Ovis aries: one gene and its partners. Each later gene encodes a partner of the first gene's protein in a complex. Links are inferred from orthologs where the notes say so. Each region holds a gene or a part of one and is shown on either strand. Other genes may lie near its edges.

Evidence for each region.
Region 2: the proteins of HRAS (region 1) and SOS1 are in contact, whole or in part, in a crystal structure (PDB 4NYM), measured with the Homo sapiens proteins. The link is inferred for Ovis aries from reciprocal best matches to the Homo sapiens genes HRAS and SOS1. Residues at the interface, in NP_001123914.1 of Homo sapiens: Gly13, Gly15, Ser17, Ala18, Thr20, Ile21, Gln25, Asp30, Glu31, Tyr32, Asp33, Pro34, Thr35, Glu37, Tyr40, Arg41, Asp54, Ile55, Leu56, Asp57, Thr58, Ala59, Gly60, Gln61, Glu63, Tyr64, Ser65, Ala66, Met67, Arg68; in NP_005624.2 of Homo sapiens: Glu589, Lys602, Trp809, Thr810, Lys814, Leu822, Met824, Ile825, Arg826, Thr828, Thr829, Thr832, Glu836, Asn869, Leu872, Val875, Ser876, Asn879, Ser880, Ser881, Tyr884, Ser908, Asp910, His911, Tyr912, Lys913, Leu916, Phe929, Phe930, Gly931.
Region 3: the proteins of HRAS (region 1) and RASGRP4 are in contact, whole or in part, in a crystal structure (PDB 6AXG), measured with the Homo sapiens proteins. The link is inferred for Ovis aries from reciprocal best matches to the Homo sapiens genes HRAS and RASGRP4. Residues at the interface, in NP_001123914.1 of Homo sapiens: Glu3, Gly12, Gly13, Gly15, Ser17, Ala18, Ile21, Asp33, Pro34, Thr35, Ile36, Glu37, Tyr40, Arg41, Asp54, Leu56, Asp57, Ala59, Gly60, Gln61, Glu63, Tyr64, Ser65, Ala66, Met67, Arg68, Asp69, Gln70, Arg73, Thr74; in NP_733749.1 of Homo sapiens: Tyr228, Gly232, Val234, Val244, Asn248, Ser251, Asn288, Met291, Ala292, Gly295, Gly296, Cys298, His299, Ser300, Leu327, Ala328, Ser329, His330, Asn331, Asn332, Tyr333, Ala334, Arg337, Leu351, Gly352, Val353, Leu355, Lys356, Val359, Ser360.
Region 4: the proteins of HRAS (region 1) and GRB14 are in contact, whole or in part, in a crystal structure (PDB 4K81), measured with the Homo sapiens proteins. The link is inferred for Ovis aries from reciprocal best matches to the Homo sapiens genes HRAS and GRB14. Residues at the interface, in NP_001123914.1 of Homo sapiens: Glu31, Asp33, Pro34, Ile36, Glu37, Asp38, Ser39, Tyr40, Arg41, Tyr64, Met67; in NP_004481.2 of Homo sapiens: Val109, Lys111, Asp116, Glu117, Thr118, Ser119, Arg120, Ala121, Leu122, Asp123, Lys140, His142.
Region 5: the proteins of HRAS (region 1) and RASA1 are in contact, whole or in part, in a crystal structure (PDB 8BOS), measured with the Homo sapiens proteins. The link is inferred for Ovis aries from reciprocal best matches to the Homo sapiens genes HRAS and RASA1. Residues at the interface, in NP_001123914.1 of Homo sapiens: Gly12, Gly13, Ser17, Ile21, Gln25, Asp30, Glu31, Tyr32, Asp33, Pro34, Thr35, Ile36, Glu37, Asp38, Ser39, Tyr40, Arg41, Gln61, Glu62, Glu63, Tyr64, Ala66, Met67, Lys88, Lys117; in NP_002881.1 of Homo sapiens: Gly746, Arg749, Glu783, Thr785, Thr786, Arg789, Ala790, Thr791, Glu799, Lys803, Ser833, Arg894, Gly898, Phe901, Leu902, Arg903, Cys906, Pro907, Leu910, Asn911, Met914, Arg928, Ile931, Ala934, Lys935, Gln938, Asn939, Asn942, Val944, Ala948.
Region 6: the proteins of HRAS (region 1) and MAPKAP1 are in contact, whole or in part, in a crystal structure (PDB 7VV8), measured with the Homo sapiens proteins. The link is inferred for Ovis aries from reciprocal best matches to the Homo sapiens genes HRAS and MAPKAP1. Residues at the interface, in NP_001123914.1 of Homo sapiens: Gln25, Asp33, Ile36, Glu37, Asp38, Ser39, Tyr40, Arg41, Leu56, Glu63, Tyr64, Met67; in NP_001006618.1 of Homo sapiens: Glu277, Ser278, Phe280, Ala286, His287, Gly288, Phe289, Ser290, Leu291, Ile292, Gln293, Arg311, Arg312, Lys313.
Region 7: the proteins of HRAS (region 1) and PLCE1 are in contact, whole or in part, in a crystal structure (PDB 2C5L), measured with the Homo sapiens proteins. The link is inferred for Ovis aries from reciprocal best matches to the Homo sapiens genes HRAS and PLCE1. Residues at the interface, in NP_001123914.1 of Homo sapiens: Ile24, Gln25, His27, Val29, Glu31, Asp33, Ile36, Glu37, Asp38, Ser39, Tyr40, Arg41, Glu63, Tyr64; in NP_057425.3 of Homo sapiens: Phe2138, Pro2146, Glu2147, Gln2148, Pro2149, Arg2150, Thr2151, Val2152, Ile2153, Lys2154, Lys2171, Tyr2174, Ser2175.

The regions. Positions count from the first base shown.
Region 1 is NC_056074.1:47,140,318-47,144,293, forward strand, and holds the start of HRAS (GTPase HRas), read left to right. Parts: upstream 1-1,176; 5' UTR 1,177-1,389; intron 1,390-2,453; 5' UTR 2,454-2,504; coding exon 2,505-2,615; intron 2,616-2,783; coding exon 2,784-2,962; intron 2,963-3,063; coding exon 3,064-3,223; intron 3,224-3,310; coding exon of another isoform or gene 3,311-3,373; exon of another isoform or gene 3,374-3,392; intron 3,393-3,732; coding exon 3,733-3,852; 3' UTR 3,853-3,976. UniProt on the Homo sapiens protein: Involved in the activation of Ras protein signal transduction. Ras proteins bind GDP/GTP and possess intrinsic GTPase activity.
Region 2 is NC_056056.1:85,175,659-85,179,158, reverse strand, and holds part of SOS1 (son of sevenless homolog 1), read right to left. Parts: intron 2,979-3,500; coding exon 2,756-2,978; intron 1,675-2,755; coding exon 1,555-1,674; intron 1-1,554.
Region 3 is NC_056067.1:47,592,609-47,594,795, forward strand, and holds the end of RASGRP4 (RAS guanyl-releasing protein 4), read right to left. Parts: intron 1,658-2,187; coding exon 1,621-1,657; intron 1,519-1,620; coding exon 1,384-1,518; intron 1,262-1,383; coding exon 1,149-1,261; intron 704-1,148; coding exon 647-703; 3' UTR 501-646; downstream 1-500.
Region 4 is NC_056055.1:144,978,769-144,982,877, reverse strand, and holds the start of GRB14 (growth factor receptor-bound protein 14), read right to left. Parts: upstream 2,801-4,109; 5' UTR 2,661-2,800; coding exon 2,470-2,660; intron 1,214-2,469; coding exon 1,081-1,213; intron 1-1,080. UniProt on the Homo sapiens protein: Adapter protein which modulates coupling of cell surface receptor kinases with specific signaling pathways. Binds to, and suppresses signals from, the activated insulin receptor (INSR). Potent inhibitor of insulin-stimulated MAPK3 phosphorylation.
Region 5 is NC_056058.1:84,552,121-84,556,100, reverse strand, and holds the start of RASA1 (ras GTPase-activating protein 1), read right to left. Parts: upstream 2,801-3,980; 5' UTR 2,606-2,800; coding exon 2,064-2,605; intron 1-2,063. UniProt on the Homo sapiens protein: Inhibitory regulator of the Ras-cyclic AMP pathway. Stimulates the GTPase of normal but not oncogenic Ras p21; this stimulation may be further increased in the presence of NCK1.
Region 6 is NC_056056.1:10,416,937-10,420,436, reverse strand, and holds part of MAPKAP1 (target of rapamycin complex 2 subunit MAPKAP1), read right to left. Parts: intron 2,615-3,500; 5' UTR 2,546-2,614; coding exon 2,287-2,545; intron 1-2,286. UniProt on the Homo sapiens protein: Component of the mechanistic target of rapamycin complex 2 (mTORC2), which transduces signals from growth factors to pathways involved in proliferation, cytoskeletal organization, lipogenesis and anabolic output.
Region 7 is NC_056075.1:15,047,541-15,051,651, forward strand, and holds the start of PLCE1 (1-phosphatidylinositol 4,5-bisphosphate phosphodiesterase epsilon-1), read left to right. Parts: upstream 1-1,311; 5' UTR 1,312-1,417; intron 1,418-2,333; exon of another isoform or gene 2,334-2,626; intron 2,627-4,111. UniProt on the Homo sapiens protein: The production of the second messenger molecules diacylglycerol (DAG) and inositol 1,4,5-trisphosphate (IP3) is mediated by activated phosphatidylinositol-specific phospholipase C enzymes.

The DNA of each region.
Region 1 (3,976 bases):
CCCGCCGGGGTCGAGGCCGGCAGCGGGATGAGCTCCCGGGAACTGCGCGGAGCCGGAGCGGGAGGGGGCCGAGAGGCGCGGAGGGTGGGGTTGCCAGCTAGTGCCGGAGGGGCAAAGGTCTGGGCTCACGTGAGACGCACCGTTCTTTCCTGTAAATACGGAGGATGTTTTTATGCGTTACTGTGAAATTTTTTTTAATGTTAAAAACATGCATTTCTGAGCGTCTTTAAAGGAGATACAATGTGCACACTTCGCCTGGGAGGCGGTAGACTTGAGTTTAGCCCTCCATAGCAACTTCGGGGGTGAATTTGCTGGGTATGGGTTGTTAGCTAAGATTCCGCAGGGCTGGGACCTGGGGCTTCGGGGAAGCTCGATGGGGAGGTAGTCTGCAGGGGCTGCCCATGTTTTGGGAGGCTAGCGGTGATGCTCGGCGGAGCTGCGCGCTACGTAAGCGAGAAGCAAGACCCTGGGCACTGGCTGGAAACACCGAGCCGGACTCGCCGTTCCGCGGGCTCAGACTTCCCCGCCCAGGCGAGGCGCCCGCGAGGCCGAGCCGCTCCCAGGACCCCGCAGAAGCTGCCAGGCGCCCCTCCCGGAGCCACCTGCGCCTGACCCTCGTCTGGACAGCCCCTCCGCCCTTCTCCGGCCTCAGGTCCGGGGCATCCGCGGGGTTGAAGATGCGGGCTCCTGCCTCCCTGAGGCTTAGCCCTCGGGCCGTCGCCTCCTTTCCGGGCCCTGCGAGGGGCGGCGTGGACCCGGGCCGGGGGCGGGGTAGGCGCAGCGGTGCCCGGCGGGGGTGCCCGGGGTCCGGCGCGGGGCTCCGGGAGCAGCGCCCCGCCCCAGGCCACACCCGGCCGCGGACTCGCTTAGCCACGGGGTCTCTATCTCCCCGCGAGGCCCGCCTGCCCCAGGGAGAGCCCGGGCCTCCCTCGGGGACGCCGCCCCCCGGGGCCCGACGCTCCGCGCAGCCAGCCCCGCAGGCCGCGGCCCGCGCCGGCCGCCAGAGCGGGCACCGCCCTCGGCGAGGCTCCCGGAAGCCCCGCCCGGCCGGGGCTCTGACGGGCGGGCCTCTCGGCCAACCGGGGCGGGGCGAGGCGGGGCCCGGCGCGCTCGGCCAATCGCAGGCCGCGCAGGGCTGACGGACGGGCGTGGGGCGGGGCGCGCGCGGCCGGGTCCAGTGTGCGCCGCCCGCCGCCGGAGCCGCACCCGCCGCGGACGGAGCCCATGCGCCGGGCGAGCCCTGCGCCCCGGCCCCGGCCCCCTGCCGCCGCCCCCGCCCCCGCCCCGGCCCCGGCCCCGGGGGCAGTCGCGCCTGTGAGCGGTGAGTGCGGCGGGAGCGGTGGGCCGGGCGGGGGGCCTGCTGTCTGCGCTCGGCGCGCGGGGGCGCAGGTGAGCCGCGGGCGGCGGCGGGCGGGGCGCTGCGGCGGGGGCTGCGGGAGGCGGCGGGTTCGCGCCGCCGCGCCCCGGCCAGCACCTCTGGCTCCGTGTCCCGGGCCCGGCCTTACGGGCTCCGCAAGTGACCTGGGTGTCCGCGAGCAGAGGCGCTAGGCCGGGTCTTCCACCCGCGGGAGCCGCACGGGCCCCTCCGGAGAGCTCGGGCATCCGGCGGCCATCACACGCCCGGCGAACCGGGGGTTTAGAAAGTCACTGCTTGCGGTCCCCGCAAGGGCGCCTCTTCTTTAAGCATCACAAACCGCTGACATCCCAGCTGGGAGCCTAGGGCCCAGGCCCTGTCCCGTTCTCACCTGTCCCCTTGCGCCCACACCTCTTTTGGGTCTTTTCCTGTGATCTGCTTCCTGGAGCCTCGGCCCCCTGTCCACCTCCACAGCTGCTTTATATTCTCCAGAGTTCTGGCAGTGGGACCCGTGGGCTCATGCGGACTTTCCCCTTGGAGTGTCGCCCACACCTGCCAGGGCAGGGGTTCTTCTGTCCCCGTGCGCCTGCAGCAGCGCCTGGCATGCAGTAGGTGCTTACTGAATACTTCTCAGATGCACCAGCATGCCCTGGGGGGAGGGCTGGAGCAGATTGTCGGTTGCCACCAGCCTGTCTGGGCACGCTGCTGTGCCCGCCACTGTGGCAAGACCTGTTCTCGTGGGGGTGCTGGTAACCTCAGCCCAACGCACCTCTAGTTTAGGCTTTTTGCCTACCCAGCAGGTTCTAATTCGGGTACGTGCTTGGGAGACGCTCCCTGCTCCCAGCCTTGCCTCTGAGGGGCCTGCTCCTTGCTCCTTGCTTTTCTGGTACAGTCATTAGGGGCAGCTGGAGGCAAGACCCCCTCCCATCTCTGGGCTGCAGGTGCCACAGGTGAGGGCTGGACCACCTGTGTGGCTGCTGCCCCTGTCATCTGGGTGGATAGGCCCAGGGGGCAGGCCGGAGCTGGCCAGGCTGGTCCAGGGAGCTCCCTGCGCCCGCCCTGCACGGTCCGGCCATGCTGAGTGTGGCTCCCTCGGCAGGTGGGACCGCAAACCACTGCAGCGCCTCGTGCCTCGGTCTCCTGAGGAGCGATGACGGAGTATAAGCTCGTGGTGGTGGGCGCCGGCGGCGTGGGGAAGAGCGCCCTGACCATCCAGCTCATTCAGAACCACTTCGTGGACGAGTACGACCCCACCATCGAGGTGAGTCCACCTGGCTCCTGTCCGCTGCTCAGCTTCTGACGTGGGCCTGACTCGCACCTCCTCTAAGAAAGGGTCCCCGTGTCACAGGCCCCCGGGGCGGGGCAAGAGAGGAGCGAGGGAGGTCTCCCCCCGGGAGGGCCGGCTGTCTCTGAACAGTGTCGTCCCTAGGACTCCTACCGGAAGCAAGTGGTCATCGATGGGGAGACGTGCCTGCTGGACATCCTGGACACGGCGGGCCAGGAGGAGTACAGCGCCATGCGGGACCAGTACATGCGCACCGGGGAGGGCTTCCTCTGCGTGTTTGCCATCAACCACACCAAGTCCTTCGAGGACATCCATCAGTACCGGTGAGCTGCCTGCCGGCCCTCAGGGGCCCCTGGCCCTCTCTGTGCCCTGAGTGCACCCAAGCCTGCGGGCTGCCTGCCAGCTCAGCCTTTCCTCCTTGCAGGGAGCAGATCAAGAGGGTGAAGGACTCGGACGACGTGCCCATGGTGTTGGTCGGGAACAAGTGCGACCTGGCCGCGCGCACCGTGGAGTCTCGGCAGGCCCAGGACCTCGCCCGCAGCTACGGCATTCCGTACATCGAGACCTCCGCCAAGACCCGCCAGGTGAGCCCGGCCCCTGCCCCGCAGCCAGCCAGGGCCCCGCCCCGCCCACCCGGGACAGGGCTCACTGCCCCCTCTCCCTCGACGCAGGGCAGCCGCTCTGGCTCTGGCTGCAGCTCCGGGACCCTCTGGGACCCTCCGGGACCCCCGTGACCCAGCCGCCCCTCTCGCTGTAAGTCTCCCCGGATGGCAGGGCAGCGAGGGAGGCCAGGGCCCGGGTCTGGGCTGAAACAGCTCCTGGGGGAGGTGGGGGTGCCCGGAGAGAGCTGCCCTGAGCCAGACCGGAGCGGTGACCCTGGGGCCCCAGCCCCCCTACCCCCAGAGTGCCCCGCGGGTCCCAGGGTGCCCCAAAGACTCAGTGGGCTGGCAGCTGAGGACAGGCCTCCCGACGAGGCGGGCCTGGGGCCCGAGGCAGGCAGGACCCGGCTCCCTGTCTGCGGGGTGGGGAGAGGGCTGGGGCCCTGCCCGCGGCTGAGGCGGTGGTCCTGCCCTGACCCGGGCCCTTCTCCTAGGGCGTGGAGGACGCCTTCTACACTCTGGTGCGCGAGATCCGGCAGCACAAGATGCGCAAGCTGAGCCCACCGGACGAGGGGGGCCCCGGCTGCCTGAGCTGCAGGTGCCTGCTCTCCTGACGGCAGCGGGGGCGTGGAGCGCTGGGTGCCACGCAGGAGGCGGCACAGCAGGGAAGGAGGGGGGTGCCGCCAGAGCCCGGCCCCCCAGGCCGGTGGACAGAGTGCCCACGGGCCTCCCGGGACG
Region 2 (3,500 bases), on another chromosome or scaffold:
CTCTAGAAATGGCCCTAAGAGTAAATAGCAAGTAAAGAAACATCTATTCAGGAAATTTACAATTCAGTAAGAGAGGCAAGAGTCTGCTTCCTTAGAGAAACTTGCAGAGGCGGGGGATGGGGGGACACAATTAGCCCAAAACACAGGGCTCCCATCTCCTTTGACATCTAAAATGTCAAGACTCACATCTTGACAGAGATGAAACAGCAGGGAGAAAAAACAGGGAATGGTAAATTGCCTGTAAGACAGATCTGATAGGTCAGATTTAACAACAACAACAAAAAAGATTTTAAAGCAGTCATTCTGAATTTATTAACAGAACTAAAGGGAAGTATGATTTAAAAAGCAAAGTGGCGAGGGGGGGTGGTGCTGATGACAGTGTGTATCAACAGGAGTGTCCTAAAAAACACAGGGATTGTAGAAGAAACCAAACAGAAACCGTGGATTTGAAAAATATGATAATTAAAATAAAAATTTTACTAGAGGGACTCAATAGTCAGTTTGAACTGGCAGAAGAAATACACAGTTAAACTTATAGAGGTATTGTTCTTCAAAAACGAAGACTAAGTAAACATTTTCCCATATACACAAAAACTAAGAGAACTGGTGCTAACAGACCCACCATATAAGAAGTGCTGACTTAAGTTCTTCAAGCTAAAAGCAAGTAACCTCAGATAGCAGTGTGAATCCACACAAAGAACACTGGTAATTATTTAATTATAAAAAACTCTGTAAATGCCTATTTTTCCCTCATTGGTTTTTTAAACTGATTTTAAAGAGCAACTGGATAAAATAATATGTATGTAATGTATTGTTGGGTCTATAACACATAGAAATGTAACGTATGTGAAATACATTGCCAAAAAGAGAGCAAAGCTGGGAAGGGCTAAGAAAATAATACCAAGTGGTAGTAAAAGCAACAATTATAACCATGCACTGCTAGATCTGCATCGTTAATTATAGGTAACGCGTGTTCCAATACCACAAAGGGACGCAGCGAATAGAGCTGCTGCTGAGTCGCGTCAGTCGTGTCCGACTCCATGTGACCCCATAGACGGTAGCCCACCAGGCTCCCCCGTCCCGGGGGTTCTCCAGGCAAGAACACTGGAGTGTGTTGCCATTTCCTTCTCCAATGCGTGAAAGTGAAAAGTGAAAGTGAAGTCGCTCAGTCGTGTCCAACTGTTCGCAACCCCATGGACTGCAGCCTACTAGGCTGTCCATGGGATTTTCCAGGCAAGAGGACTGGAGTGGGGTGCCATTGCCTTCTCCAAGTGAATAGAACTATAGAGGAGTAACTTTTTTATATGTCACTGGAATTCGGGTATAATCTGAAACTAATTCTGTTATGATGAATGTGGCAAACCTAAAAGGCAATCATTAACAACAACAACAACAAAAACACTTAAAATGCTGTTTTAGAAAAATATTCACTAACTGTCGAAGAAAGGCAGAACAGAGGAACAGCAACAAACACATGAGACACGGAAACAGAACTGCAGTGAGATTTATAACATAACTGACTGTTGCGAAATTAAGACGACCGGTAAGACTTACTTCTCAAACCACAGAGTGAGATTAGTGGTATGCCGGATCATTTTCAGGAGATTAGGAGAATTAATTTCTTTGTCTTCTTTTGTCCACACACTTCCAACTAATTCTGACGGCTGTACAGCTCTAAAATCATCAAGACATAATTCTATGTGATACTTTTCCCTCTAGTATACTGTTTTATCAAGTAAGTGAGATAAAAGGTTTATGAAAACAAGGTAAAACAAAAGCATTATAATATTGCATTTTTTCTATTGATTTTAAAAAATTTTGTATGCGTGTACCTGTGTACTCTTTTTTATTACTTTAGAGCAGTATTTTGCTTTGGGCATGGGTGGAATTTCTTCACAGTGTCTTTCCCAGCACTTATAAATATTATCTAACAAATGAGGGTAAGAAAGTAGTTTGGGATAACTCTTTTAAATAATGATATAATAATTGAGGGTATAGTAATAACTGCAATTCATAAATCTCACCCCTCACCCCTTCAAGGAAGGGGAAAAACTCTCTTAGGAAGAGTCTTGGAAAAGAAAAACAAAAGGTTCTAACACTGATTTTGGGAACAGTGATGATCTTTGATGGGAAAGCTATACATTTAGTTTCCTTTTCCATTTAGTTATTTAAAAAATAAACAGCTTGAAATCTAAAAAGTCTAAATTTAAAACTAGAAACAGGCATGTTTTTTGAGATTAGCAGCTCTATCAATGTATAAAAACTAAAAAAGGTTAAATGGCCATGACTGAAGTTCATAATGACAATGGTGCTATCTAACTCACCGCGCCCTTACTCTGTGTGGGGCAGTGTATTTATAGCGAAATGCTATAAATATACGGACTATTCTAAACCTTGCACAACAGCTCTAGGAGTAGGTGCCATCATTAACTCCGTTTCCTCTTGAGGAAACTAAGCAGCAGAGGAGTAAGTCACACAAGAAGATTAAAGTTGCCCGAGGATACGACAACACATGAATTTAGTAGATTCACTGACTGGGGCGACTGCATAGAGAGAGAAGTTATAAGCCCAGATAGGGCAAAGGTGATCAAGGAGTAAAAGAAGAGGCGTCTTCTATACAGAAGGCCTTATTACAAGACACTTGGTGTACTGTCTCATTATGTCTTATAATAATCTTACAAGCCAGAAATCAGATTTCATTTTTAAAGTTAACTCATTTGAAAGGATTTTTCAGCTTGAACATCAAATTACATACCGATATAGATCTGATTCAAGTAAAGTGAGTTGTCGAGCAATTTCTATTGGGTGTAAGGTAAGCAGGTCAAAAGTCTCGATGTGCCCAGGTCTGCTTATGTGCCACTCAACCGTAGGAGGTGAACTCTGAAATGTAATATTATGACCTGGCCCATTGTCTCTTGCAATTTTTTTCCTTTGGATTATTTTAGTGATGGATTCAACCCATTTTTTCATTGCTTTACCTGAAATAACATTATATGAAAAGTAACGTTTAAATATTTTACTCAATATTTTATTGAAAAAAAAAATAGTTTAAAATCATATAAATGATACCTGAATATCTTTGTTATAAAAAGTTCATACAACCAAAATTTAAAAATGAAGTTCCCCTTTACCATTTCCCTGTTTCCTATCCCAGTCTCATTTTTCTTCATTTGGCTAACCATTTGTTAATAGTTTGGTATATATTCTTCCACATCCTTTATAAATAAAATGAGAAAGTAATTTATTTGCAGAAAATTTTCACTTCTATTGTTCTAAACTTTAGTGCAAAATATTATTTTATAATCCTCTCCAAAAACACTACCTTACACAAATAAGATTTATAATGATAGACCATACAACATTAGCCGTTAACCTAACAAACTGCATTTTATAAACCAAACAGTGCCATAGGACTGACTCCTTCCTTTTGTGTGTTTTTCATGCGGCTTTGTTTTGTACTAGGCATGAAAGTAGTATTATTTAATCCTTTATTTTTCGAT
Region 3 (2,187 bases), on another chromosome or scaffold:
TGGTTTCACTGAGTGAGATGGAGCCATAGGAGGGCTCTGAGCAGAGGAGGGGTTTGATCTGACTTAGGTTTCAGAGGTTCCCTTCCTGTTCCACCCCTTCTCTGACCTTCTCTCCCACCTCAGAGTTTGGAACTCTACCCCCTGTCCCCTCTGGCTCCTGACCCATACTGACATCAGTGCAGTATATTGGTCAGTAGCTTCCATGTGAGAGGCAGACAAACTGGGTAGGAGTCCTGACTCTTAACACTCACGAGTTCTGCTCCCTTTGGTGAGCAGTTTGACCTCACTGAGCCTGTTTCCTCATCTGTAAAATGGGAATTTAAGGACTTGGCAAGATGATGATGTTGTTTAGTCACTCAATCGTGTCCAACTCTTTGCGACCCCATGGACTATAACCTGCCAATCTCTTCTGTCCATGGAATTCTCCAGGCAAGAATACTGGAGTGGGTTGCACGGATATCACATGCAAGAAAAGGGAATACAATTAACAGCCACTCTGATGCAAAAGAAGAAAATAACTTTCTTTTGGAGTAAGAGATGACAGAAGCTTCAACAAAGGCAGTGTGGATGGGAAGGAGACGGAATAACAGGACTTGAGACTGACTCTGGAGGAGGAAGTGGGGAAGAGATGAGACCAAGGCAACATCTAGGAGTTCAGCTTGGAGGACTTGGTGGGTGGTGAGGCCTTCACTGGCAGAGGGACCTGGAAGGAGGATGACATGGGGTGACGTGGGGAGTGTATGATGTTCAGGTTCACTGCGGGGAGAGCCTCCCCGACATGTCAAAGTGAAGTTTCTTTAGCTCATTCTGAGACGTTGCTCTTTTTACGAGTGGAATTTACTCCAATATTTATTAATATCTGATCTGTTTGGCCTTAATCTTGACATCTTATAGTTTTCTTTCTGTTTTTCTTCCTAAACTCACTTTTTCTTTTGTACTAGGGGTTACCCCTTCCCCTCCCCACCAATATACTGAAATTGCTGTCAACATTAAAAATTAACCCATATCTACACCCTCCCACCCAAGCAGTTGAGGGCTTTTGCATCGTTTCACTTTTCCTGTTCTTCCCCAAGTCTGTCTGGGTTCCCCCAGGCAACTAGGCTGGTCTCCCCGTATCCAGTTGGGGGTAGGGGGCAGTTCCTCCTCACCGTCTCTGGTTCCCAGGAGGGGTGTGGGGACTCTGTCTGGGTCCAAGCATGGCGAACGTGGCACCCAGTCTCAGGTTCCAGGGATAGTGTGTAGGAGAGATTGTCCTCGGAGCCTGTGTGTAGGGGTGCAGGTGGGAGGGACGTAGGTATGATGGGAAAGGCCTCATGACCTCGGAATGAATCCCCATCTGTCCACCAGGACCCCTTCCCAGCACTGCCACACCCTGGGTCTTACCACAGCTGGCCTGGGGAACTGGAGTGGGTGGGGCAGGGGCTTCCGGGGGACTCGCATCGCCCTTGGCCCCTGGCCTCTTCTTACATTCCACCTTCACTTGGTCTCTGCAGTGTCTGTGGCAACACAGCCCACAGTCTGGGGGAAATTCAGAGGTTAGTGCCAGAGGCCCAGTCCACGTCCGCCATTCTCCCAGCCTGCAGGTCCTAGATCCCCTTTCTCTACTGAAGCTCCACTCACCCCGACAGCGGTAGCCTTGCTTGGTGACACCCCAAAGCTGGGAAGAGAGAGCAGAACAGGTTACCTAGGCTAGGAGAGGGAGGGCTGTGATTGGGGTAGGGACAGGGACTGTCTGCAGGAAACCATCCAGGTTTTGGAAGTGCCCAAGGCTAGAGGCCTCTGTGGGGTCTGGAAGACTAAAGGAATTCGGAGATTTGTCTCAAGTTTGGAGAGTCACCTATGATATGAGAATCGGACAAAATCTGGAGTTAATAAAACATACATTCTATGGGCAGGGGTTGTGTCTGTTCTGTTTCTGCCTGTCCCCTTCCACCCCCACCCAGAGCCTGTAACTGTGCCTAGCGCCCTGGAGGTGCTCAGTGTCTATTCAGTGAACGAAACAGTGAATTTGGAAAGCAATCCAAGGTTTGCGAACCGGTCTTGGTTTGGAAGTGAGAGATCTGTCCATTCCACAGACTGGAGGATAGATTTCCAAATCCAACTGGTTTTGGAAATTGTACAGAGTTTGAATCATCCGGGGCCTAGAGACTTGGGAGCCTGATTCAGTTTGCAGATAATAATCTACCC
Region 4 (4,109 bases), on another chromosome or scaffold:
TGTCCGAGTTTTTGCGACCCCATGAACTATACAGTCTGTGGAATTCTCCAGGCCAGAATACTGGAGTGGCTGGCCGTTCCCTTCTCCAGGGGATCTTCCCAACCCAGGAACTGAACTGGGGTCTCTTGCATTGCAGGTGGATTCTTTACCAACTGAGCTACTAGGGAAGCCCCCAGTGGTCATGGGTTTGAGCAAATTCTGGGAAATAGTAAAAGACAGAGTAGCCTAGTGTGCTGTTTGTAGTACATGGGGTCACAGTTGGACACGACTTAGCGACTATGAACAACAACCCTTGCAAGAACAAGGTACATAGTGAAGCTTCTCTTTGTTTGCTGATTCAAGACTAGAATGAAGTATATTCAGAAGAGATGGGATTAACCTAGGAAACACTTTTTTTTTTTTATAATTGTGATGCATCTCCCCACAGCTGCTTGGTTCTTGAAGTTTAATTTGCTCAAGTCAGCTCCATACTAGAAACTTGAAAGAAAATCATAAAAATTAAGTCCATAAGCTAAACATCACTTACAAGTCATCTGTCTTCTGCAGTCAGAAACTTCCAAACTGAGGAATTCGCTGAAATGAAAGAAAACCTGTGGAGTCCAAAACTCCATTTACCTTTCACCACAGATTCACCATAATCAATTTCCTTTAGTAAATAAGTTTGGCTTGGGTTGAAAATATGAAAGATTAAAGAAGGTATTAAAAGAACCGGTCAATTCCCTTCTCCCTCTAAATCACTACCAGCTCTTCCAGTTTCTGAGTTAAAATTGATCAGTTGTTATCATATATAACTCTCCAGTTACAATGTGAATAATAATAGCTCCTAGGCTCTGTACTTCACATATATTCTTTCATTTAATCCATTCCAAAAGCCTGATGGGTATGTTTTAATGTACCCACTATACAGATGTGAAAAGTGAGACCCTAAAGGGAACTAATGGCAAAGAACTATGTCAGTTAATAGAGCTATTTAAAATAGGCCATGCTAACCTTTTGCTAATATTGTAAGTTACTATCTTAAAGATTATATGGATATAGAACTTCTAAGATTGTTTAATTAGAACATTTTAAAATGCATACCTGTTTTTTCCTTGAATTTGCTTTGGGAAACAGGCCTGCTGACAACACAGATGTAAATGGAGAGCAGCATAGCTCAGGAAAAGGATTTGGAATAGATGGCATTTCCAGAACATCAAGATCTTTCTTTTTTCTCCTACACGGAGAGAACATAGGATGTAATTTACATAAAACAGAATGTAAAATATAATTGCTGTCAGGATTAAAAAGTTAAGGCCAGAATGCCCCACTCTGTGACAATACTAATGTAAAGTATACAGGAAAAGTCTGTGGTGTACTTTCTGTGGGTCAGAATAAAACATGTCAATTGATATAAATCAATCTCCTTTTGCATTCCTTTCTTCCTTTCTTTTCTTTTGGCCTTTAAAAAGAAAATCACCAGGCCTGGAAGCCCCATTTCCAGCACTTCTGATAATTTTCCTGAAACTGACATACAGACTAGAGAATTATTGAAGTAAAAATCATCCTGAGGAGTTAGACATTGTTTTGCATCCACTAAATTGACAGTCTATAAACATTTAGTGAACTCATCCCTATTCTATTCTACTAATCACTTTTGAAAGTTATGGTTTATTAATTATAGCTGTGGTTCATCTCACTTCAAATTTCATTCACAATGTGGCCCACACACAGTCTGCTGATTTTTCAAGTGCTTATAGATACTAAACTGCAAGGCAGTGTTTTTGAGGAGGTAAATGAATAGAACTTGCTAGTATTAATGTACTTTGGTCCACTGCAGAGTAATTTTAACTTCAGTGAAGTTGAAGCACTTTGAAAATCTGAAGAAAAAAAAAAAAAAAGACATCATTTAAATGTATGAATATAAAGGACTATTGATTTTTGTATTGTTGCAGCCTTTTTCTTTCCTAAAGTATGTGTGAAATTGTGAATTCTACAGGCACTTAGGGCTGAATGCTATGGAGATTGGGAAACACTTTAAAGCCTCTATTCTTTCCTGCTGAACAGCTAGACTGCTCAAATGTCAATCCGTACTTTGCCTCTCCAGGGTCGCTCTAAGACTCCATGTGGGAGGCGAACTGATTTATTCTGATTTTTTTATAATATATAAAAGGGATTATTTTGTTTTTTAACGCAGTAAAGAAGGAAGGAGGGTGGTCAGCCTGGAGCCTGGCCTCCTAGTTCACATCGATGGTCAGAGGCGAGAGCGACCCGGAGCTCTCAATGAATCGGTGATGCTATTTATAAGGCGCTGGGAGATCGCAATGTCCTGCCCATCCGGTAGGTTCTGCCAGCTCAAAGGGAATTGTCTTCTGAGACTTTCTCAAACTTGGCCCAGATCTGGGCACATGGCTCACCCCCTAGGACCGCCTCCTCACCCCTCGCCGGCTGCCAACCCAGGACACTCCCCCGCGCCCTCCGAGGGCTGCCTACCTGTCTGCCGCACAGCCGCGGGTCGCGTCCGGAGGGGGCAGGAGTGCCCGCGCGTGCAGCCAGGGGCCCGGCGCCAGGTCGCGGGCGTCGCCCCTCCCCTGGGCAGCGCCGCACACCTGGGCGGCCAGCGGCGAGTCCCGGGCAGCCGCCCGACCCGCGGCGCTCTGCCCATCTTGCAGGGAAGTGGTCATTGTCGCCGGCCGGGGGACTCGGGCGTCATGGGAGACCCGGCGTGGGGGTAGAAGGAGATCCGGCGGCGGGAGGCGAGGTGCCGGTTCGGCAGCCCGAGCGCGCTGCAGGTGCGGTGGCCTCGCCGCCTGCGCTCTGGACCAGGGCGGCTCAGACGCTCGGCCGAGCGGTAGGCGAGGCGGCGGGGGAGGGGAGGGGGCGGAGGAGGAGGGTGGGGAGAGGGGAGGAGCGGCGGGTGGGTGGGGGCCGCGGGCGGCGGGGCGAGGCGCGGAGGGGGCGGGGAGGGCGCCGGGCGGGCCCCGCTCGCGGTCCGTGGCGCTGGGGGGCGCTGGCTGGGGGCCCGCGCCCCTGACTGCCGGCCCTCGAGGCTCGGGCCCCGGGCTCCCCAGGTGGGCGCCGGAGCGCGAGGCTGAGCCCGGGGTCGGGGCGGATCCGCGTCGCGGGAGGCGGGATCCATGTGATCGGGCGCTCCCTCGGGGCTAGCCTGGCAGAGCGCAGGCGGGGCAGGGGTCTGGGCAGCCCTGACCCCCTAGACCTTTCATTCTTCTTGCTCTGCTATTGGAGAGCTGTCGCTGGGCCGCCATGACAGGCCCACCGTGCCAGGAGAGCGGGGGACCAGGTTTGTCCCAGTCTTTCCCCCACGTGCCTCTTGCTTCCACTCTGCAGCTGAGGACACCGGCGAGGGAGAAGGGGTGGACGGGGAACAGGCAGTACAATCGGTGCCGAAAACTACGGAGATGTTTGAGAATTCTGAGTAAGGTATGAGTAAACCTGACCTCTTAGGAATTAGGAAAATTATTCATTTTCTTCTGATAAGAGCAGCTCCCATCGAATGAGCCCCTACTCTGCCTAGTCGCGTTCTACCTCACAACGGCCTCATAAATTAGACGTTTACCCCGTTTTACAGATAAGGGAATTGAGGCTCCAAGTCATGGAGTACCTGGTACAAGACAGGGCTAGTGAAGTAGTGCAGTGAAGCTTCCAACCCAAAAGATTCCATGCCCCAAATCCAGACTGCTTGAAGTGGTAATTACATTATGCTCACCTGAGATGCAGTCGCCCTACTCTGAATTCTGAGTGGTAAATCTGTTTCTGCTCTTCCAATAAGTGCCCCATCCCAGTGCACTGTTCCGGGTTTCCAAATGTTTTATACACTCTTTGTTCTTTGACCAAATTAGGTAACATCTGTCCCTGGCTTCTGTTAACCAGGTTTTCTTAACCTTCACAACCTCTGCCAGGGAAAGGCAAACACTGCCTTCTAAAGACACTGGCAACCCCCCTGCTCCATATCTGTGTGACCCCCAACACACACACACACACACACACACACACACACACACCCCGTGGCACCAACCACTGCCGACGCCCAGGGTTTGCTAATCCCCAGCCTGTGAGAAATCTGTAGTACTACATAGAGGCACAAAATTTTGAGTCAAAGAGCCTACAGAATC
Region 5 (3,980 bases), on another chromosome or scaffold:
TTATGTACTATTTGAGCCAATTTACTGAACACTTACTACGTATGAGTTACTGTGCTGAATACATTCAGGGATTTCTCATTAACCTTAAAAAGTATCATATGAGGGCGATAGCATTATTACCCCATTTTACAGATGGGGAACCTGACCTTTGCAAGATCATACAGCTAGTAAGTAGCAGAGTCAGGATTCCAACCCAAATCTTGTCTAACTTCAGATTTTGCACCTTAACCCCTACACTGTATTGCCTCCAGTAAGTCTGGGTTGATATCTAAGATAAAGAAGAGAGGGAAATTTGTACTTCTCGTTGGCAACTTTTAAAAACTATAGTGAAATGGAGGATACTTTTTAGAACATGAACAATTCTCATATACAGAGTTACACAAATAATATTTTTATTCCCAAACACAAATGATGAAAATCTTACAATGGATTTCTCACAAGAATAATTTTTCTTAGGTTCTCATTTATATTTATTAAAAATTTAATTGGAACACTGTGTTTTCTGTTCACTTCTACGGTGAACCTAAAACTGCTCTAACAAATAAATTCTATTTTTAAAAAAATTTAGAACTGCAACACACTAAATATGCCTTATTCAATTTAGTTAAGAACTAACATAAGACTATATTCTTTCATTATGAAAAGCTGAACTTTATCATAACCACAGGGCCCTTAATACTTAAGTAGTTTTGAAAAAGGCTTGAAGATGTGTAAACAGAGCTGTAAATTTTGAATTTTTAATACTTTCAGAACACCTTCAGAGAAGTCTGCAATATGTAGATAAGAAATGATAAGCAGAAATTAAATTAGACAAAAAATTGAACTCATGATGAACAATATAAAAAGAATAAAACTCCCCTGTCCCATGGCTGACATAAGATTAACTTTACTTTTCCATCAAAAGATGTATGTAGCCTTAAGTCAAAAATGCCCTAATTTGTTAAGTCCTTTCTAAATTTTCTAAAGAAGCTTATCCAAAAAAAGAAAAGAAAAAAAAAAAACAGACACAAAAAACACCTTCAACTGTCTAGAGTGATGGTCAACACAGGAATCAAATCTTTCTTCCTCTGATACCTCACCAAGGTTGTCAAAATTCTAAAGGACAATTAAGACAGATATGAGGGATCTATAAAACAAGTTTTGCCTACTGCCCATCAACATGTTCCTCTCAAGATCCAAACCTAAGTTCACTTATGAAGAGAACAAGGGAGAAAGTACTATATATATATGTAAGTCATTTGTCCTGTATATTCTGCAGAAGACTGTCAAAATTAATTTTCAAATAGAATACTGTATTTGCCACCAACAAAAGGTGAAGGGAAGCACAATATTAATTCTAGTTCAATACTGTACTTACAAAGTTTCAACTTACAGAAGAATTATACTAGCATATTAGTAAACGGGAATTCTACTGCACATGTTAAATACTGTGGGAGTACAGGCCCTTAACCACACCAGTAATTAACAGAACTTTCCTTTCTCGCTGACCCACGTTCTCAAAAGCAATCCAAAGTCTTTTCTGCATCGCAGTGCTTTCAACAGCCAGAAGCCGGGAATTGCAGGGCAACAAAAACAAAGCAATCCGACCAAGGCACGTTTCAAACAATACTACCACGATATTCACTCAAATATTCAAAGCTTCTCACTAATTGTCTAGCTTCAACAGGGAATGCAACCAGGTTAATACAGACTACGACTGCCTCGGTAGCTGCAAACTCAGCTGAATCCCAGGACGCCACCTCAATCTGCAAGGGACAGAACCATATCCGGTTCTCCCTGGATACACATTTTCCCATGCTTCCCATCTTGAAAACTTTACATCTTCCCAGAGGAGCAATAAATATACCAAGACGCCAGGGAGTGTGCCTGTAGGGAGGATGAGTGATCAAATTAAATCCGTACGCACGGAACCTTGAGCTTCAGAACTTTTTCTGAACGAGTCACAGCTGAAAACACGAGTCACAGCTGAAAGCACTACGAGTCACAGCTGAAAAGAACTAGACCTGTTTTTCCTATTTCTTTCCAAGGAGTCAGCTTCCCCCAAAACGCCGGTCTTGACTTACTGGTTAGTCGGAGGAGCGGTCAGCGGGATGGCCACCTCTTCCTCCTCGTATTCTGGTCCATCCAGAGAGTCACCTTCGTCCACTGTTCCCAGGCCAGCGCCCAAAGGGGGCAACTGAGGAGGAGGCGGCGGCAGAGGAGGGAATCCGCCGCCGGCCCCGAAGGTCTCAGTGGGCAACGAAGTGGTCCCTTTGGCTTCAGCCATCTCCCCGCCGGGTCCGGCGGCGGCGGCGGCGGCGGCGGCGGCGACACCAGCCACGCCGGCGGCAGCGCCTCCGGCTGACAGTCCGGCTCCCCCCGGGGCCCCCGCCACAGACCCAGGTCCCAGGAAGCCTGACCCCAGAGCGGCTCCGCCACCCAGAGTCGCGGCCACGCCGGCCTCCGCCAGCCCAGGAAAGGGGGCGGCGGCGGCCACGGGCAGGGCCGCGGGGATCTTCACCCGACACACCGCCGGGTAGGCACCCGAGGCCGCGGCCGCGCCGCCTCCCGCTGCCCCGGCGGTGACCGGGCCGCCCTCCTCACCGCCGGCCTCGGCCGCCATCATGTTGAAGCCCGCTTTACGCGGCCCTACCCTGCCCGCCCGGGAGCCCCCAGGGGCCACCAGGCCCGGGCTCCGAGCCGCCCCACCCAGGCGCGTCCCCTCTTCAGCTCCCCGGGCGGAGGAAACAACAACAAAAGGAGAGAGCCCGCTGCCGCCGCGCCCCCTCTCCGGGCCACAGCCCAGGTTCGGGAGCTCCCCGGGTTACGGGAAGAGAAGTGGGCAAAAAACCCCAACGCCTGCACAAACGCCGCCCAAACCTTCACCTTCCACACCCACACTCGCGCGCGCGCGCACACTCACACACACACACACATGCACAGAAGCGAAAAACTTCCTGGCTGCACTAAAGAGGAAGGGAAGCGAGGCGGGGGGGAAAGCGGCTTGAGGCGGCTGCTGCTCCCTCAGCCGCCGCCGCCGCCACCGCTTCTTCACCACCCCAGTTCCGGCCACCCCCACCGCAACCACCGCCGGTGCCGCTGCAGGGGCTGGGGCCACTGCGGCCGCCTCATCCTCCACCGGGCTGAGGCGGGAGGGGTGGGGAGAAAAAGAGGAAGGGGGGCGGGGTAGCGGGGAAATCAACCTAAAGGCTCCCAACCTGGAGCGCTAAGTGACATCGACGAGAGAAAGGAAGGCGGGGCGCGGGAGGAGGGGCGGAGGGAAGGAAGGGCGGGGAAGGAGGGGCGAGAGGGCAGCTTCTGCGCAGGCGCACTCCCCGCGCGGAGGCGGTGGGTTGGGGTGGGGGTGTGGCGTGCTGGGTCTGGAGGAGGGAAAGGAAGACTCTGGAGGGAAGGAAGCGGCGGGGACGCGCGGTGTGCGGCAGCGCTCGCTGTCCCGAGCCGAGGGGAGCGCGTGGAGGCGCGGCCAAGCTAGCAGTCCCGAGCCAGTGGGGAAGCGCGTGGCGGCGCGGCCGCCTCGCCGGTCGGTGTGGCCGGTGGCGCGCGCCTGCCTGACTGGGCTTTGTCTGAGAGACGGGTTAGGCGGCGGAGGGGAGGAGTGGGTCCCCGGCACGCGGCCGCTCAGCGGGGTAAAAACCTGTGAGCGACGAGGAGGGTTTCTTGAAGAGGGAGGGAAAGAGAAGGGGAGATGAGGCAAAGCCAGTTCCTCGCTTCCCGACCGGTAGAGCGGACGCCGTGGCCGGCGGCGCAGAAACCCGACGGCCGAGGCCCGCGGGGGTGGCAGTTGGAGGGGTACCTGCCTGGAGGTCCGAGAGAGTCCTGTTAGTGTTTCCGTTCTCTTTTCATTATATAAATGACTATATGACTATTTCAAGCTAAAAAAAATAAAATGAAAATTTTTTTAATAGATTCTAAGACTCATGCGAAGAGTTCACTCATTGGAAAAGACCCTGATGCTGGGAGGGATTGGGGGCAAGAGGAGA
Region 6 (3,500 bases), on another chromosome or scaffold:
AAAAAGTCATAAAATTTTAAAGGTGGCACCCCTGAAAAGCAAATACCAACAAAAACATGAAAATATTCTTGATTTATAATTGAAATTAGAGGATATAAAACATTAATAGAGATCATAAAGATAGTATTAACATGGAAGAGAATAATAAAATGTGAAAACTTCTGTGATTAATATGACATTTCATTATATAAATCATTAATAACGGTCTTAAAGGAATTTTAATGCACAAATGAACTGAAGTGAATATTACATTACAGGAATAAAATTACTGTTATGAATTACTCTACCCGTTTCAAAAATTAAAGATAAATGAACTCAGACTAGACTATTAAAGTTTTAAATATAAAATCCTTTATCTAAAAATCATGAAAATTATAAAATGTCAAAGCTATATAAATTAGCATAGCTTTTCTTCAGTGGGCTGAAACAGTTTATAGGTAGTAAAATAAATGATTTGTATCTTTGTAACATTAGTCAAATCTTAAAAAGAATAATTTTTCTTATACAAAATTTTAAGATATGCTGAAAGGATTAAAAAGTAAATTCCTTGGTCATCGAATACCCCACAATCTTAATTAATTATTAGCATCTAAGTGCTAGCTTAAGAAATTCCAACAACAAAAACAAAAGCATCACCTAAAATTATGCATTTGTGATTATACTACGATTGGCTGCTCAACCTTCAAAAGTCAGTTAACTGGATCTTTTGAAGAAATACCGTACAGCAAACAATGCTGTCCAGCACGTGGAGACTACAATGGAAAAGAAAGTCACAGCTTATGCCACCTCTTCATATTAGGTTCCTCTTGCTAATCTTCAACTTCCTATCCTGGCCCAATGCTAATAAAAATAAATAAATAAAATAAAGTTTTCTTTCAACCACTTTCAAGGTAGGAAATCTTACATTCCTGCCTTAGCATTGTGGCAGTGAAACACTGAAACAGATCTTGCAAAAATTAAACTATGCTGGCAAAAACATTCTGACAGTGTCACTCGATCGAACCCAACTCCACAGCAGCAAAATACATTCGACTGCAATTAATAAATTTGAAGGGTACAGCCAAAGTATTATAATCATAAAGCTCTCAATTTAGCAGCATGCTCCTACTAAATCCATTCAGCCTGTCATAAAAGATATCTCAATAACTTGCAAGGAAGTCAGTTTCAACTAGAGAACTGCGAACCAATGGTTCGAAATTATATTCAAACCTTCACTCGAATCCTATTTTGCTTAAAGTTCCTTTGGATACTGGGAAATGCTATTAATTATTTTCATCACAAGAGCAAATTATTCTTTGTATTGACAGATGTCGCAGAACGCTGAATTCTGAACCAAAACCTTAACATGCTTTTTAGTGTAAACTGTATCCTGTTCTACCAGCAGTACTCCTTTCCATCCATTTTAGATATGGACTATGAAAATTAACATGCAAATATTTTCAGGGTTCTACTATATATCCCACATTACTTTCCCTGGGAGTTAGCAGGTTACTGCCACTTATTAGGAGATTATATTTTCTGATTATCTAAATAAAAAAATTATCTCATAGAATACCATCATATTAAAACAACTACACTGTATAGTCTAAATAGTTGATCTACGTAAAGGACTTCATCACATACCCCTTGAAATGCTCCCCAAAACCATAAGCTGGAAAAGGGGAATGAATTTTTAAAAGCTAATGACTAAATATACCTATGCTAAAACTGAGCATTTTCAGGCCACGAATACCAAAGGGTAGAGAGATCAACTAAATAATGTATCAAAAACGGGGGCACCTTTTCTCATCTCAACTCCCAAGTAGGACTTCCAACTAAATGCGGCCTTAACAGCCGGCTGTCTCCCTCCAATCCGCCACCCAGTACGATTCCTCCAAGGGCGAGAACTGTCTCAGACAGCGCAATCCTTGTCTGGCCAGCTCTCTTTATCACGTAACCTGAACCCTGCCTACTGGTAATAGTGTAGCTCTGGTAAAGATCCTCAAGACAGTCCACTTCCCTGTCTACATGGTGACTTTTTAGAACAGAATCTCGAACATTTCTCTCATAGTCAACTTTTTCACCTACTCCTCCTCTGTCTGCTTCCTCTAACAGCGTCATTCCAGAGACTCTCAGCACTCAGTCGAAGAGATGGAGAGATGCCTTAGACTGTTAGTGTAATACACTCATGTTCCTATCAATACAGAGTAACTTTTCCCATTAAACTTATTCCAACATTACGCATTATTCTATAAGACTGTTTACTGATTTAAAGCTCAGAAGACAGGACTAAAAGGCAATGTTTACCTGTATTTGAGCGTCTTCTAATACCAAAGTCCCAACTTGAGGTAATATCGACCGACTGGGCGTACACATAGCCCTGAGTCTCACCATTGCTTCCCTGAATTTCTGACCCACTGTCTCCAGGCATTGAAGGAGGATGAATCTTCTCTAGGTCAACATCATGATCAATGAGAACCATCTCACACATTCCTGTGTCATCACTGGTCACATGTGACTGTCGAATATGAGCTAGAATGATAGTTGGATTGTCCAAGAAGGCCATCCTTTCTGTGGGCCAATTTCCTTAAAAGGCTATTTTCTCCTCTTCATATTGTTTCACGGGCTCAACTACCTAGAAACATGATGCACACAGCAACATTTAAGAATAAGGCAGAGAATGACTGAATCATTTTTCAAACAAATTCAATGTGGTAAAAATGCTACCTTGAAAATCAACATTTATCCCTGTAGCTAGGAGCTTAAAAGGATTAAGTCTAAGCTGAAAGGAAATCCTTATAAGCACTAGGGGCTACTGCTCTAGTCAATGAGCTCTCCATGGTATCAGAGAAGATGGCTTGCTCTTTTACAAAACAAATAACAGTAACTCCTTAGTCAGCCCACTCAAAGCACATAACTACTGTTAAAACAATAAATTTCCCTTTCTTTCTCCCTTCATTCCCATGTAGTCTTCTCATTACTTTATAAGGTCATGGGGGAACAAGCTGTATTTTCCTCAAATGACGTGCTAAAGTATGAAACTGTATTTCTTCAGTTTATATTCCCCTCTCCTGTCATAGTTGTGAAATGTCTAAAAGGGCACAGACATGCTTTCTGAGTTACCAGGAATTTTACAAAAATGTACCATCAAACTTATTTTGTTCAATACATACATTTTCCTTCCTTCTGATTCAAGATAGTATTGTGCTTTTAAAATAAAACTTATTAATCAAACTTGTCTGCTACCAGATTAATTTCTTATTTTAGAAACCTAATTATAAGAACTGCTTCCTGAATCCTGTTAAAACTGTAATGATGTTTATTCTGGGAACAAAACGGTACCTCCTCAGTTAAATGGGAATACTCAACAAGGAAGATATTACAGGACAGTAGTTAGGAACCTAAGGGCTTAGAGGTAGAACTGGGTTCAGATCCTGGCCCTATCACTTGTTAGCCACGTGAACTTGGTCAAAGTAGCTTTAACCTCACTGAGCCTGTTTTCTTTCATTTATAAAATGGAG
Region 7 (4,111 bases), on another chromosome or scaffold:
TATGTAACAAGTTCAAAAGAGATGTGTGCTTTCTTCTGGAATTTCAAACAAAGATGCACTACATTTAAATAGCTTCCACAGCATTATTTCTTGGGGCTTTTGTTTTTGTTGTTGTTTTTGACTATGCAAAATGGTCTTGTATACAAAGATGCATAAATCAGTTTATTGAAACTGAATTTTCCATGGAAACTGTCCAGTGCTCCCCCAATTCACAAGCACTTTATCTGACTGTCTTTCTTCCTCCAGATAATGGCTGGCAGCAACCCACAGTGTGGAGGTTATACGCTGTACTTTTGAAAAAGTCTTGAATGGAGCCATTGTTCCCCTGAGATGGTCTGTGTGTTTCACTGAACAGAGAGCAGGGTGTAAAAAAGGCACCTTGTGTGCAACTGTTGGCGAGGTTGGGGAGTGAATTAAAATCTCCAGAAAGTCTGGGCAGTGCTGTTCAGAGGAGCAATGAACCCTCTGGAAGCACTGTTAGCTCAGACATTCCAATGCGGTGAGGCAGCCTCAGGGACATGGCTCCCTCCAGTCTCATTTAGAGAGGGATGGAGGGGGCGAGCAGAGGACATTGATCTGGACCTGATCTCTTTGCAAAAAATTGGTGAAGGCCTTTCCAGGAATGGGGGGTTATTGATTATCACGCTCAGATAACTTTCCTGACTAACAGACCTAGTCTTTCCTTGGTTACTAATAGTGAAGTGACTCATTTGGAGGATTCATGTTAACTGCTTGTGCATCTATCAGTTTGCAACAATCTAATTCCTGTGCGCCTATTTTTTTTTTTTTTTAAACAGACAAGCCTTTGAGGGCTCTGGGTTGTTAATGATGTTTGATATTACTAATTCATTAAATGCATTATAAAACCGCAATCCAAAACTGTATAGTGAATAAAAAGCCTACCTTGTGTATTGTCAATAATGCTTCCTTTTTCCTGGAGCCTCATTCACCTCCTCAGGACTGTGCAGGCACAGGGATTGGGGGCAGTGACTACTTCCTATTCCTCTAGTGCTAAAATCTGAAACTTTTCATGAACAAAAACTTTCCTCTGTCTTCTGCAGAGGTCTTTCCACAACCAGCTCTCAAGGAAGGAGGTAATGTTGATTTTCATTAAATTCCTAGTGGTGAGAAAACAGCAAAACAGTGTAAGAACCCAGGCTGACATACTTTTCTTAAAGGCAGAATTCTTTGGTGCACCCTCCTGTGCGTTCTTTGGTCCAACCCCTCCTGCGCCTGGAAGCTCAAAGGATGGGAGGCCACTTTTAACAGTGACCTGAAAGAAGGGGTCAAACGAGCAGGAGGAAAATGTGTGGGAGGAGTAGAGGTTCGGAGTGGGAGAAACACCATGTCGGGTTCCTACAGTCACGGGGAGTTAGTCTGGAAGGCAGTCGGGAGCCGATGGAGATTTCTGCACAGGGTAAGTTGCAGAAGAGGAAGGACCACACGGCTGCGGTGTGAGGGAGTACGAGGAGCGGACAGACGGGAGGGGTGGGGGCCCCCGGGAACTGGGCTTGACTGAATGTAGGAGGAGGAATCATACCTATGGAACGGGTTGGTCCATTAAAATAGGTGAAGAGGGAGAGGGATTGGGCGGAGGCGGGTGGGGGGTGGGGGGTGTGATAATTCGATTTTTCTCCAGGTCTCTGGCTCTCTTGACTGTTAGTTGGGTATAAAAACCACCTCAACGGCCAGGGGTGCAGAGGCTGCAGTTTCTGGCAGCGCTGACCACCTCCTGCAGGATTTGGAGTCCATAGACCTGGATGTCACTATTTGGATGGTCACTAAACTCTGCGGCCTGGCACAGCACTGGGCACACTGTGGGGCTCAATAATAAATCGTTGTTGGATGAATGACGGAACACATTGGAGACTCCGTGCTGCCCTTACCAGAGTAACCTTGGTCAAGTAATTTAACCTTCAGGAGCCTCAGTTTCCGTGTGTGTCGAGCAGGGACGGTGCCTGGCGGAAGGTGTGACTGTAAATGCTCGCGGCCTGAGTTGGACCGAGTTTCGGCTCTCCGGCCAGAGCCGGGAGACCTCGCCGCACTCTCTCCAGCTCCCACTGCGGCCCGGACGCCGGGCGGCCCTGGGAGGCCGGGCAGGGGTCGCCGGGCCGACATCCAGGGCCAGGGTGGCGGCCGGGTCCGCCCCTCGCGCCTGCCTTCTCCGCGCGGCCGGCGGCCCGGGGGCGGGCCCGTCTCAGGCCTCTCCCCCCGGCCGCCCGGCGGCCCGCGGCGGCGCTCGCGGCCTCTCACCCGGGGCGGGCGAGTTCTGGGAAAGCCCGGCCCAGGGCGGGGGCCCCGCTGCCGCCCGCGCCGCCGTCAGGGCAGCGCGCAGAGCTCGGCGGGCGCGGAGCGAGGTAGCGGCGCCGGGCGGGGGCGCACCGCGCGGCGCGGGGCCGGACGGGCGGCGGGGGCGGCAGACCCCCGAGCGCGAGCGGCGGCGGCGCGCCCCGGCTGTGCCTCCCGGGCTGCGCCTCCCGGGCACTTGCCCGGCTCTGCGCGCTCCTGGCATCCGCTCCGCCGCTGACACACAGTAGCGGGGACACCCGACGCCGTTAGCGACAGGCACGTTCCAGAAGAACGCTGCAACTTGGGGACCCCGGCGCGCCCGGCCAGCAGAGGAAAGGTGAGGAGGAGACCCTGGAGCTCGGTTCCCGAGGCGTGGAGAAGGGGAGAGAGGGGCTTGTAATCCCTGAACCAGTCAGTAAAGCCGCCGAGGGCACCCAGCCTCACCCAGTTGTACCTGGCGTGAGAGTGTCCCTCTTCCGCCCCATTTCCAGGGGAAAACTGAGGCAGGCGACTCCCGAGGGGACGAGAGCCAGCCTCACATGGGCTGGAGGACACCCCGGTAGGGCTTCCTTCGCCCCTTCAGATGTTTGCCTTGGGTCTCCACTGCATTTTGTGTGTGCAGCACAAAGGTGAAAAATATAAACTCTTTCTGAGGCGGTCCCTAGCGACAGTATTTCAAGGAAAAGTGCTCAAGAGATTGTTCCTGGAGAGATTAGCTACATCAAGTCCTAGAAAATACAATTTTGGACCTGGATCTCACTTTCACTGGCCACTAGGAGAATGGCTACGTCTTTTTTGTTCAAGTCCTCTAGTGCTGTGATAATGAATAACCTAGAAGCAAAAGTCCTCCATTGTAACTGATGTTAAATGCACAGTGCAAATTTATGTCCCGGCCCCCCCCCCCCCCGCCCCCGCCCCCCTTGCCTTATATTTAAGTCATGAGACACTTGGTACAACTGACTCAACTAATTATTCAATGTACGAGAGATCCATCATCCATCATTCAAAGATTTAGCAGCATCATTTTAAAGAGGGAGCACCCTCAATAGATATTAAGGAGGAGTCACTTGTGGAAAAGTTTTATTTCCACATGGTTCTTAATTTGGGTTGCATCATGCAAAATTTGCCACTAGGTCATTTAGATCCCTGCAAGATTAGTGCATTTCCTTGTGTTTCTGGTAAGAACTCCTGGTAGGGATAGGGTGGGGTCCCTGTCAGAATGGGCACAGCCAAGGCCTGGGGTGCTGTAACCCGCCAGGAAGAATTTTTGAGAGCCTGTTTTGGGAGGTGGATTTAGGTGACCCGGTAGATGCACTTACAGGGCCCAGTTGGCCCTGGGGGAGAAGGGGTGGTTGACTATCTCTGGATGCTGTATCCAGCCATATCTTCACAGATGCTTTCTGAAGAATACCTGGGGTGCTGTCGTCTAAAACACCCTTTGCTCTTCCTGGGTGCCCTTTCTGCTCCATTTCATCTCTCTAAATCCTAACCAGTTTTGTTGCTGCCGGAAGACCTTCCCTCATACCCCAGTCCCAGATAGTCAACTTTCTCAGGCTCTGATGCCTGCAGCATTTTACCTTCCTGGCTTTTCTCCTCTCAGCATTCTTTGAGAAGTTTTTATGTAGATGTTTCATTTCCCTACTGAAGGACTTCACTGTGGCTTTCTTGGCACAGTGCTTGCACCTAGAAGCCTCTCTGGAAATTGTGCTATGGCTTTGGTTCTTCAATACAAGTCTCTGTTTTGGAGAAGAGGATTCAGAGAAGAGCACAGTGTTTACCATTCGAATTGTCCTCCACTTACAATCCCACAGGGGAAATTTTC